Oryza sativa Japonica Group: one gene and its partner. Each later gene encodes a partner of the first gene's protein in a complex. Links are inferred from orthologs where the notes say so. Each region holds a gene or a part of one and is shown on either strand. Other genes may lie near its edges.

Evidence for each region. Proteins that work in one complex are often made in the same cells at the same time.
Region 2: the proteins of petB (region 1) and uncharacterized protein are in contact, whole or in part, in a cryo-EM structure (PDB 9ES7), measured with the Spinacia oleracea proteins. The link is inferred for Oryza sativa Japonica Group from reciprocal best matches to the Arabidopsis thaliana genes petB and AT3G47070. Residues at the interface, in NP_054964.1 of Spinacia oleracea: Pro28, His29, Pro214, Leu215; in XP_056683494.1 of Spinacia oleracea: Lys44, Asp46, Gln47, Phe48, Tyr49, Glu50, Leu55.

What each region holds. Positions count from the first base shown.
Region 1 is NC_001320.1:68,604-74,044, reverse strand, and holds petB (cytochrome b6), read right to left. Parts: upstream 2,814-5,441; coding exon 2,808-2,813; intron 1,997-2,807; coding exon 1,355-1,996; downstream 1-1,354. Other genes in the region: petD (cytochrome b6/f complex subunit IV), read right to left, coding at 1-409, 1,155-1,162; psbH (photosystem II protein H), read right to left, coding at 2,943-3,164; psbN (photosystem II protein N), read left to right, coding at 3,268-3,399; psbT (photosystem II protein T), read right to left, coding at 3,448-3,555; psbB (photosystem II 47 kDa protein), read right to left, coding at 3,720-5,246. UniProt on the Arabidopsis thaliana protein: Component of the cytochrome b6-f complex, which mediates electron transfer between photosystem II (PSII) and photosystem I (PSI), cyclic electron flow around PSI, and state transitions.
Region 2 is NC_089037.1:35,676,476-35,683,243, reverse strand, and holds uncharacterized protein, read right to left. Parts: upstream 3,048-6,768; 5' UTR 2,974-3,047; coding exon 2,614-2,973; 3' UTR 2,334-2,613; downstream 1-2,333. Other genes in the region: GDP-mannose transporter GONST1, read left to right, coding at 62-191, 336-434, 623-777, 1,161-1,277, 1,421-1,518, 1,610-1,653; uncharacterized protein, read left to right, coding at 5,492-5,506, 5,610-6,768.

The DNA.
Region 1 (5,441 bases):
TACTGCAGTACCGATTAAAAAAACGGTTGTAGCTACTGGGCGACGAAATGGATTTTGGAATTTATTGACATTCTCTAGAAAAGGTACTGTCAATAAGCCCGTCGGCACAGAAACCATTAAGAGAACGCCCAATAACTTATTAGGTACTGTACGGAGTATTTGAAACACGGGAAAGAAGTACCACTCGGGTAATATTTCCAGAGGAGTTGCAAACGGATCCGCCGGTTCACCAATCATTGACGGCTCGAGAACCGCTAAACCTACATTACATGCAATAGTACCTAGAATTACTACTGGAAAAATATATAAAAGATCGTTGGGCCACGCGGGTTCCCCGTAATAATTATGTCCCATCCCTTTAGCTAATTTTGCTCTTAATACAGGATCGTTTAAGTCAGGTTTCTTTGTTATTGGGATAGGTGAATTCTTTAAGATCCAGCCCCCAAAGGAACCGGACATGAGAATTTTTCATCATCCGGCTCGAGCAAGAATGAAAGAAATAAAACCGTAGAAAGATCCATAATAGAATAAGGTATATAATGGCTCAATGGCTCTAAGTAAGAAAAGCTTTATCAGATTCTATTTTCCGAAGTTGCACCTACAACTATTCATTGAAAAGAATCCTACTCTTATGGGTAAATGCTCAATATCCAAGTGGGCTTACAAATTTGATCATGATCAATTGCTTTGTGGATTGTCTCGCGTCTCTTGATTAGTTGGTATTTATCCCCCCCAATATTGCAAGTTTCTTACGTCCAAACAAAGTATTTACTTGTTACTAATAAAAAATCAAAAAGTTTAGCCTACGTTCTTCCTTAGATCCCTTCTTTTACTCCGATAGTATTGCAGATCGCAATCGATGCAAAGAAAATGAATGCATTTCCATACTATAATAAAAAGTAAGTGTAATAAATAGAGAATTGGATCATGTCACATGACTTATTCATTTCTACTCTATGGGATCTTACGGAGCCTCTTCATGGATGACATGGTTGAGGTATGATCATAGAAAATATTCTCTCAAGTGAACCAGCCTATCCTTACTAGACAGGGGACTTACGTGTTGATTGGATATGGAGACACTTTGGTCGTGAATTCTAATGTGGCAGATCCAACTCTCTATCTGCATGGCCAATCAATAATTCAAGTCGCACACTCCCATAATCCGCCTTCTTTTCTTTCGTAAAATTAACTTCAATCTATTTGTATTATTTGTATCACAATAGTTCGGAGTTGAAGAGAAGTATCTAAATGACATGTCTTATTTTAGAATAACCCATGTTTGTAGCAATGAAATACCACAACCTACCCGATATGATATATGAGAATTAGAACTCTCTATGAGATGCCTTCCTTATAAAGGGCCCGAAATACCTTGCTTACGTATCATTAGAAAGTGCATTAACATAAATACGGCAGTAAGCAGAGGAAGTACAAAGGTATGTAAACTATAAAAACGAGTCAAAGTGGATTGACCCACACTAGCACTTCCACGTAATAACTCCACTAAAGGTGATCCTATTACCGGAATCGCGTCAGGCACACCTGTCACAATTTTGACTGCCCAATAACCAATTTGATCCCAAGGTAAAGAATAACCAGTTACACCAAACGATGCAGTTAATACAGCTAAAACCACACCAGTGACCCAAGTTAATTCGCGGGGTTTTTTAAACCCACCTGTGAGATACACACGAAATACGTGCAGGATCATCATTAGAACCATCATACTTGCTGACCATCGATGAACTGATCGGATTAACCAACCAAAGTTGGCCTCGGTCATTATGTATTGAACCGAGGAAAAAGCCTCTGTAACGGTTGGGCGATAGTAAAAAGTCATAGCAAAACCGGTAGCAACTTGTACTAGAAAACAAGTAAGTGTAATTCCCCCTAAACAATAAAATATGTTGACATGAGGAGGAACATATTTACTAGTTATATCATCTGCAATTGCCTGAATCTCAAGACGTTCCTCAAACCAATCATATACTTTATTGAGATAGGTAACTAACCCGAACCCCCCTCCGAGAACCGTATATGAGAATTTCATCTCGTACGGCTCAAACAGAAACACACAAATTTTCAACGGATATTAGAAAAAAGGTTCAAAACTTCATCAGCACTGGGTTGGGTCGATTTGCCTTGAAGATATGAAATAAGAAAAATCAGAATTTCTTCTTTGTGATGATAATGCCAAAAATCTCAAGTTGGCTCGTCTATCTTTCTTTCCCAAATGTTGATCATTAGGAGGCCTCTTGATTTTTCTCTTCCCTATTTTGGATTTCTTTTTTTTGTGCGTAATGCAGATTTACTCTTGTTTTACTAGATAAATAAATAAAGCAAAAATTGGAGTAGTTTTCTGGTAGAAATTATCTTGTTGCGATCCTATGAATCAGTTCAATTAAAACCTTAGATTCATACTAGAGCCACGATGATTGAGTCTCAAGCTAAACAAAAGGCAAGGGTTCTTCGAATAAGAACCGCTTGATGATCATTTATTGAATCGGTGTAATGACTCGACAAAATCGAGAGAAAAAAAGTTGTTTTTTGGGCAAACAAAATTGGAAGGAAGAAATTTTCTTTTTTTATTTTTATTAAGAACTACTTGAATTTTTTTCAGTCTGGTTGCGAGGTCTGAATAGTTAATATGAATCATAGTTTCATTTTTTTTTCTTGATCCACTCTATCTATTTCGTGTTCCAGATACTAGAATAAATAATATCCGACGAATTAGAATCATCTTGATAGAGATAACAGGTGCTTTCTATGTATTATCAATAGGAGCAAATTCTAACAAGTCACACACTCATATTCCAGAGATACCGAAACCAAAAAATTCCACGGTCGAACTACCAGAATGTCTAGAAATGTAGAGCTTAAAGTAGAAAGGCTCTTTTGGATGGAAAAACTATGACTTCGTAGTTTTCGTTAGTAGAAACCTAATTCATTAAAATTCCGTCCAGTAAAACGGAAGAATTATAAATTTCTAAAATAATAGATAGGAATACCGCGAATAAAGCCATTGCGACCCCCATAAAAGGAGTAGTCCCCCAACCCGGAGCTACTTTCCCATATTCCGAATTCAAGGGTTTCAATAAATTACCTACGCGAGTTTGTCTTGGTCCAGGTCTAGAACTATCTTCAACGGTTTGTGTAGCCATAAATTCCATTTAATGATTTGTGTTGACTTTGTATACTATTCCGTTGTAGTTGTAAATACACGATCTTTTCGTAGATCCATTGTAATCTTGAAATTCTATAAAAATGGAAACAGCAACTTTAGTCGCCATCTCCATATCTGGTTTACTTGTAAGCTTTACTGGGTATGCCTTATATACCGCGTTTGGGCAACCCTCTCAACAATTAAGAGATCCATTCGAAGAACACGGGGACTAATTGAAGTAAGAAGTCTCCCAGATGGGGAGACTTCTTACTTCAATTAAATTATTTCACTTTTTTAGTCGGAACCTTAGGTGGTTCTCGGAAGAAGATAGCGAAAAAAATTATCCCTAAAGTCGAAACTAAAAGGAACGTATAAACCAATGCTTCCATAGATTCGATCGTGGTTTATTTACAATTATAACTTCCACACCTATTCATTTGTCATTTGGGATCATTTCCCGTATAAAAAAGGAAAAAGAGTCAAAGAAGGGATGGGAGATGTTTCCCATGTCAAATCAAAAAAGAGAGGTGAAAGATACCAAAGCAATGCGGCCTCAGACTGGCTGTCTCCCTGTAGTTGGATCTCCACGTTTTTGGATTGCTCCAAATTCCACTTGAGCATCTAAGTCTGGATCAATACCAGCAAAAACATCTGCGAACAAGGTTCTAGCCCCATGCCAAATGTGTCCGAAAAAGAAGAGCAAAGCAAAGGTAGCATGACCAAAAGTGAACCAACCCCTTGGACTGCTGCGAAAAACACCATCTGATTTCAAAGTAGCCCGATCTAATTCAAAAATTTCCCCTAATTGGGAACGCCTCGCATATTTTTTTACAGTAGCAGGATCAGAATAACTTACTCCATTAAGTTCGCCACCATAGAACTCCACCGTTACGCCTACTTGTTCAACACTATATTTGGATTCTGCTCTTCTAAAAGGAACGTCCGCTCTCACAATTCCCTCTTCATCTACCAAAACAACCGGAAATGTTTCAAAAAAAGTAGGCATACGGCGTACAAAAAGTTCGCGCCCTTCTTTATCTCTAAAGATAGGATGTCCTAACCATCCAACAGCTATTCCATCCCCATTGTCCATTGAGCCTGCTCTGAATAATCCCCCCTTTGCCGGATTATTACCAATATAATCATAAAAGGCTAATTTTTCGGGAATTTTAGACCAAGCTTCTGATAAACTGAGATTTTCGGCTAACCCATCACTAACTCTTCGATATATTTCTTGCTGAAAGTATCCCTGATCCCACTGATAACGAGTAGGCCCAAACAATTCAATTGGGGTAGTTGCTGACCCATACCACATAGTTCCGGCAACTACGAAAGCTGCAAAAAAAACAGCAGCGATACTACTGGAAAGTACAGTTTCAATATTGCCCATACGTAATCCTTTGTATAGACGTTGAGGTGGACGGACACTAAGATGGAATAGGCCCGCTAATATGCCCAATGTACCCGCAGCAATATGATGAGAAGCTATTCCCCCCGGAACAAAAGGATCAAAACCTTCTGCACCCCACGCCGGATTTACAGCTTGTACTTTTCCAGTTAGTCCATAAGGATCAGACACCCATATCCCAGGACCATACAAACCAGTTACATGAAATGCGCCAAAGCCAAAGCAAGCCACCCCTGCAAGAAATAAATGAATTCCAAAGATCTTGGGCAAATCCAAAGAAGGTTTTCCCGTCCGCTCATCACAGAATATTTCGAGGTCCCAATATACCCAATGCCAGATAGCTGCCAAGAAACACAAGCCAGAAAACACAATATGCGCCCCTGCCACGCCTTCATAACTCCAAATACCCGGATTCGTTACAGTTCCTCCTGAAATACTCCAACCACCCCACGAATTGGTTATTCCTAAACGAGTCATGAAAGGAATGACGAACATACCTTGTCTCCACATTGGATCCAGAACAGGATCAGAGGGATCAAAAACCGCTAATTCGTATAAAGCCATCGAGCCAGCCCAACCAGAAACTAGAGCTGTGTGCATTATATGCACCGAAAGCAATCGACCCGGATCATTCAATACGACAGTATGAACACGATACCAAGGCAAACCCATGGAAATACCCCTTTAGCAAAGAAAAATAGACACGATGTCACTTTATTTTATCGCATTGGCAAAGACTATCCATATCCTATGTACCTAACCCTTCTAGGGGATTCTGTGTCAGAAAGCGTGAATATTTATTTCATTCCATTAAAAATAAGAAGCCAATTCTGTTCGTAAGAAGAAAGAGAAGCAGATCTTCTATAC
Region 2 (6,768 bases), on another chromosome or scaffold:
GAACTTTATTTTTATGATATTGCACAAAGTATAACAGAGCTATATATTCCTGTTTTTTCAGTTTGAAGTACATAAATGTTGCAATGGTGACGATATTAAAGAACATGACAAACATTTTGACAGCTGTTGGAGAAATATATATTTTCAGGAAGGGTCAGAACAAAAAGGTTTGGGCTGCCTTGTGTCTAATGGTATGTCCTTTTCTGCTCCACGTGCCTCTTGTTTACTTCCAAATATTAGCTAATTATGTAATTGTTGGCCTGTATTAAGAACTTTACACCTTAACAGCATAGTTGTTGAACTGAGCAGGTGCTTATCTCTGTTGTGCTATGCAGGTTATATCAGCTGTATGTGGGGGGATTACAGATCTTTCTTTCCATCCGGTTGGCTACATGTGGCAACTTTTCAATTGCTTTCTGACAGCAGGCTACTCGGTTAGTCGAATTTTCTGATCATAGTTTTTGCATCCACAGTATATTGCAACTTTGCAAGCCTCTTTACAATTAATATATTGATGAACTTCTTAGCAGATTTTTTTTGGGAAGTATTCTAATCCTTCAGTTCTCTTGTTCCTCCTACTAGTCACATGGGTTGTACATAATTTTCCTACTTCTTGTTACAGCTTACACTAAGACGTGTGATGGATGTAGCCAAACAATCAACAAAATCCGGTTCCCTCAATGAAGTTTCTATGGTGTTACTTAACAATGCGCTCTCCATACCTTTAGCACTCATTTTGATTGTTATCTTCGACGAATGGCAATACGTTTATGAAGTGTAAGAACTCAATCTTCACTCCCAACCTAACCATTCAAAAGTAATCTGCCCTAAAATTTACCAGTTATGCAAGTAACACAAAAGGACATATGAAAATCTTGCTGTACATCTACTCTGCTTCTAAACTTGGCTTCGTTTCGATAAATAAGATGTTCTGTTTTTGCTCATAAATGAAGCTTCAGCCTATTGCAATCAACTTGAATATGAAGTTAGATGATCAATGAACTTTTCGTTGTTTCCACATGTTGTTTTTTAACGGGAATACATCAGGGGAGAACCCTGATGTTAGATTTCTCCTGTAACTGTTGCTGCAAAGGCAGAATTGGTTGTTGTCCATGCTTCTCCATTTGTACTTATACACGATGTTTTCCTCTCATCTGCAGTGAAGTTACTAGAGATCCTATGTTCTGGGCTTTTGCAACAGCTAGTGGTTTGCTAGGTCTGGCAATTAGCTTCTCATCTGTGTGGTTTTTACATCGGACTGGCCCAACAACTTACAGGTGATATGATACTACTAACTCTCTTCCTTCAAGTTGCCAATAAAACATGTTTGCATTTGCATTAAAATAATATTTGCATAGTTGTCACTCCAGCAAAGTTGACTACATGTTGATATTTTTTTTTATTTGGTTTCCGTTTTCAGCCTTGTTGGTTCACTGAACAAGATACCTATTTCGGTGGCTGGTATCTTGCTTTTCAACGTACCAGTGAGTGTTGAAAATTTGTTTAGCATAATTTTTGGTGAGTACTTGCTTCATCACTGCTGAATTGCTGTCTAATTTTCTTTATGAATGTGTGTATACATAACATGTCTCCTGATTGTACTTAACAGGTCTTTTTGCTGGGATATTCTTTGCAAAGGCAAAAATGTCCTAATGTGTATTTATGACATGAAGAGGTCTCACTGCCGCTTTACCTATCAACAATTATATACTGTAAAGAGATATGGTCAATGTTCAATTGTTTTTTGGTGGATCATTCATGGGTTTTGTGCATAGTCCTTGTTCATAAGGTTACACACTTTGTGTATGCGTTCAGTTTTGGTCTATAATTGTGGTGAGGCAGAAAGCATTCTGCAAAACTAGCCACCGGTTGGAACTCTCTGCAATCTGTCTGCTCATGAAGTTGAACAGAAAAAAATTGTGCAAAATAAAAGAAAAGGCTTGGTGCTTCCAATCTGAGTCGCCAATCAAGCGGGCTCTAGGCCGGCCGGAGGGATCATGTGAAGATGAGGCTGCCAATCTTTGTGCAAAACTCTCCAGATTATTTGATTCATAGTTTCATACCAACACCTAAAGTTGCTATTTTTTTTCTTGACAGAAAAGTTCACTCCAAATTGGAGTATATGTATGTAAGATAAGAAAAAACAATGTCATCAGGTATTCAGGTTTAACCCTTTTAATCCTCCTCACACTGAATTGGAAAGAACAAGAAATGATGTAGTATACCACATTATCACGTCAAAAATCACTTTGGACCACACCTCACACGTAGGCACTAAGTTAACATACACAATCTTTTACCATATGCTTTGTGAGACAAAACACAACATGATCAGCAGGCTTAACCCTTTTAATCCATTCATCCATGTTGAGTTGAAAAGAAATAACAAATGATGTGTGTTGTATGAAGTATATAAACCACATTTTCACATAAAAAATTAATCACTTTTGAGTCACACCTCACATGTTGCTACGTATACGCAAATCATCCTCCAAATTAAGCTTGGAGTTTGAATCAAACTGTTTGATGAGGAGGAGGGTAATACATCGATCGTGTAGGCAAGCTGACGCTCTGCGTTGGAGTATATACGTACGTAGAATTCGAAAGGATTCTTCAGCCTTTCTTGGCGAAGAGGGCGCCGAGGTTGAAGCCGCCGCCGCCGCCTTCCTCGTCGGCGGCGCTCGCCGCGGGCTTCTTGGCGGGGGCCTTCCGGGAGACAGTGGAGCCGGAGGGCGGCGCGCCGTCGACCTTGTTGAGCAGCGGGTCGGTCTCGACGAGCTGGTCCTTCTTGAAGATGAAGCCGAAGATGAAGTCGGCGAGGCTCTTCTCCTCCTCCGCCGGCGCCGGCTTCCCCCTCGTGGCGCCGACCGCCATCGCCACCCGCGACGGCCGCCTCCGCCCAGCCGACGACGACGACGCCGACGGCGCCACGCCCGCCGCCGCCACTCTGCTCCCGAATCCCACCGAAGCCATGATTCTTAGCTCAGCTCTAGCTCTCTCTCACGCGACGATGATGAGAATGAGATGGGTGATGCGTCGTCTCGATCGATCGGCGGTGAGAGGGATCGCGAGGTATATGAGGTGGTGATTGGGCGGCGTGTGGTGGAGGAGAGCGGGTGTGTGAGGCGGCCACAAGCGGCTTATCCACACCACGCGTACGCCTCCATTGCCACCAACTCCACGCGCCCCGTTGCTCGCCTCGCCAAGTTGGCATCGGCGCGCGCCTCGCGTCGCGCGAGAGGCCAGCCGTTGCGCGCCGCGCGCGTCCTGTGAAATGGGTGGGAGTGGGCGTGGCACGGCAAGAGCGGCTGAAATGCACGGCGAGACGTGGCCACGAGTTGGGTTGGGCCACATCTAGTCGGAGGGGCCGGGTGTTTTGGGTCCCCTGACGGGATGGTAGGAAATATAAAGTATACTTTGACTCTCTCAACTATGATCCGAGTATGATTGTTTCCCATCTAAGCGCAAAAATGGGTGAGACGTGAGTCCACGTGCTAACTCAGCTAAGTGGATCAAGTCAACGAGCCATATCGGATGAAACCGCCCCCAAAACTCCTTTTGCACTGAGAACCGAGCGTTGCTCGGTTGGCTAGCATTGCTGGTGAGCGAGCAGCCCGTGCGGGTTCGATCCCTGGGATCATCACCCGCGCGTCTCACCGGGATTTATTCCCAAATAAATTTCCAGCTCTCCCGTGCCAACGCCACAATAATAGAGTGACGTCCTCGTCACGCACAAGGTCCTTAGGTAGCTTTGTGTATCTCATTAGCACATGTGTGTATAGTTGATAGGTCTAGCATGCGTGTAGGGGTGCGTGTGTGGAGTGTGTGTGCGTGGTGGAGTGCGTTTGCACGTATGTTCAGTTACTACAGCTTGTTCTCAAAGTGGAGAGCTCTCAAAAAAAAACTCCTTTTGCACCGGTTTCATTAGTTGGGATCGTGAAATATTCGGTTTTGTGATTGAGAGACATTAATTTGCTCTCTCGACTATGATCTGAGTATGATTCTTGCCCTCTAAACACAAAACGGGTGAGACGTAAGCCCACATGCTGACTCAGCCGAGTGGATCAAGTCAACAAGCAGCGGCAGAGACAACGTGGGGGCTGGGGGGGGGGGGTCTTTAGAACCCCCTACCCCTAATATACCATTAGAGCCCCCATAATATTCCTAAAATTCTAATCTATATATTTATACTATGTATTAGAAATATAGCCAATTTATATGAGACATGTTTCAATTTTTATTGGCCACTTTGGTTTAGCCCCGCTATAATTTTATTCTGGCTCCGCCACAGTCAACAAGCCATGTAAGATGAAACTGCCTCCAAAACTCCTTTTGCACCAGTTTCACTAATTGGAAGCATGAAATACCTGGTTTTATGGTTGGGGAACATTAATCTTACCCGGGCTATAGTTAAGGGAGACAAAATATACTTTCTGGAATGGTATTCTAAGGCCCATCTTGTCTTCCTAGTTCCTACCCTTCTGCCAGAAAGGAAAATGATGAATTTATTTTTACCCATTAATGCAATTGGGCAGCTACTGGTACGAGTGCTACCACCAAATCCCGTCCGTAATTATGAGTGATCACGGCCTGAATCATTAATTTTTTCAGACCGTAATTGAATGAATACCGGGACCGCCAACAACACTCACTCACTACTCCCCTCTCCTCCCCTCCCGACTCGACGAGGATCCTCCCGTCCCCACGTCGGCTGGCGATTTTGACTCGCCCGCCGCCGCCTGCGCCGATCTCCCTCCGACGACTGGCGGCGGCATCTTCTTCCGCCGCTGCATTGAGCACCCACGCGTGAGGCATCCTCTTTCTCATCTCTCTTTCTACACGGTCCTAACCTTTTTTTTCCCTGTTTAAATTAACCTCTGCATCTCCTCTGGATCTGGAAGCTTTTTTCTTTTTTCCTCCTTTGCCTTAACCTGTCTAGGAATAGTAGCACTTTGTTTCCCAAAAGATATAATAATCATAATAATAATAATATTGGGGAGCCCCACGTTAGGTCCGTCCCTGGCCTTTTGATGCGTATTGCGTAGAAAGTGCGTTTAAATGCAATAGTTGGGTGGGTCTATGTGTATCTTGAGGACTTTGTTATGGTATGCATTATCCATTATGGGATATTATTATTATTTTGATGATATTATTATTATTTTTTTTGTTCTAGTACTACTGATTTAATTGAATTGCTTTAGGCAAGAAATATTGGCGTTGTACTTGGAGATCTAGTGCGCTCTATGTTCTTGGGACAGTTTGTTGTGTTGTGATTTGTGATGTTCAGTTCAGCACAAGATGCTCTCTGCGAGCATTCATTAGTTAAGGGAAAATTTATGCGCATTTATTAGTTTTCTCTCTGTATAGAAGTATAGAACCCCCATAACTTTATAAATGTTCCATGAATATGTGTAGGCAGAAGTTCTCTTCACCTGTGGGATGATGTAGCAACATTTTATCTCAACTGATCCTCCATACAGTAATCTCCAAGATGGAACAGATTTCAGTGAGTTAATTCTTTCTCTTTCATTGTATTGCTCTTGCGATGAAATGTCAAAAGTAAAGATTGAGAAATATGTATCCTTTTTTGTTTTTAATAACTTTTGTAGCTTGAGCATCGGTACAAGGAGTGCAGGCCACGAAGAAATAACAGCTGTCCAACCAAAACACTTGTCGGGAAGGATCAGTTGAAGGAATTGGAGCACAGGAGACCATCACCTAGTGTGATTGCAAAACTGATGGGACTTGATGTGTTGCCACCTGCTTATGTAGCCCACAATCAGCACCAGGAATTCAAGGATGTATTCGAAGTGTCAGAGGAACCACAAGAGGCCGTCACGAAAGAGAGATCACATAATTTCCCTAAAGGGTTGCCAAGCTTGAAGCGAAGTGCATTAAAGCTAAGAAAGCTTATGCCATCAAAGTCTCCCTACGGCGATGAAACATTTGATAACAATGTAGTGAACCAAGATGGTTTTGATCGCTTGAACTCGCTAGAGATAAATAATCCTTTGTTTGAGAAGCACCCCTATGATGTGAATTGTTCCCCAAATTATCGATATGAGAAAGATAGTACTTCAAGTACTTTCAGGAAGTACCCTGTTGGTTTAGGTAACTCTTCACTTAAAGAAATTGTTGTTCTGGAGCTAGGCTTAGGGGAAGTCCAACATTCAGGTAATGCCTTTTCTACACCAGAACCCTCTGATGTCAATAAGAATTTCAGGAGAAAGATGAAGCAGGCTGAGTTTTCTACTACGAACAGGGGTTCGCAAAATCTTTTAGGCACTAAAGATATTAATGTGCCTAGAATAAAAGGAGAAAGACACTTGACTAGCAATGCTGTAGATTCACTGTTAAAGCGACAAGATTCATCACTTGATCAATATAACACAGTGGATACGGATAACACTGGATCATCTCAGAAGTGTGTTAGCAGTGAAGTTAACTCCAGAAAAAGCAACAGGTCATCATCAAATAGCTCACCCTGGAAAATCCGCCGCAAGTATGAGGAAGGTGCCATTGGTTCAAAAACTCTTGCAGAGATGTTTGCTTTATCTGATTCAGAGAGGTTGAAGAGGGATTCAGACTCACATGTGCAGATTCAAGACAATAAACTTAACCGGGGCAACAACAATGACAAGGAAGGATGCTTTATAGTGTTGCCAAAGCATGCACCTCGATTGCCTCCTCACAGTTTGTTGGACAAGAATTCTTCCTGTGAAAGGTCCCCTCACGATATTTTTTTCTCAAATACATCAATTAGTCACA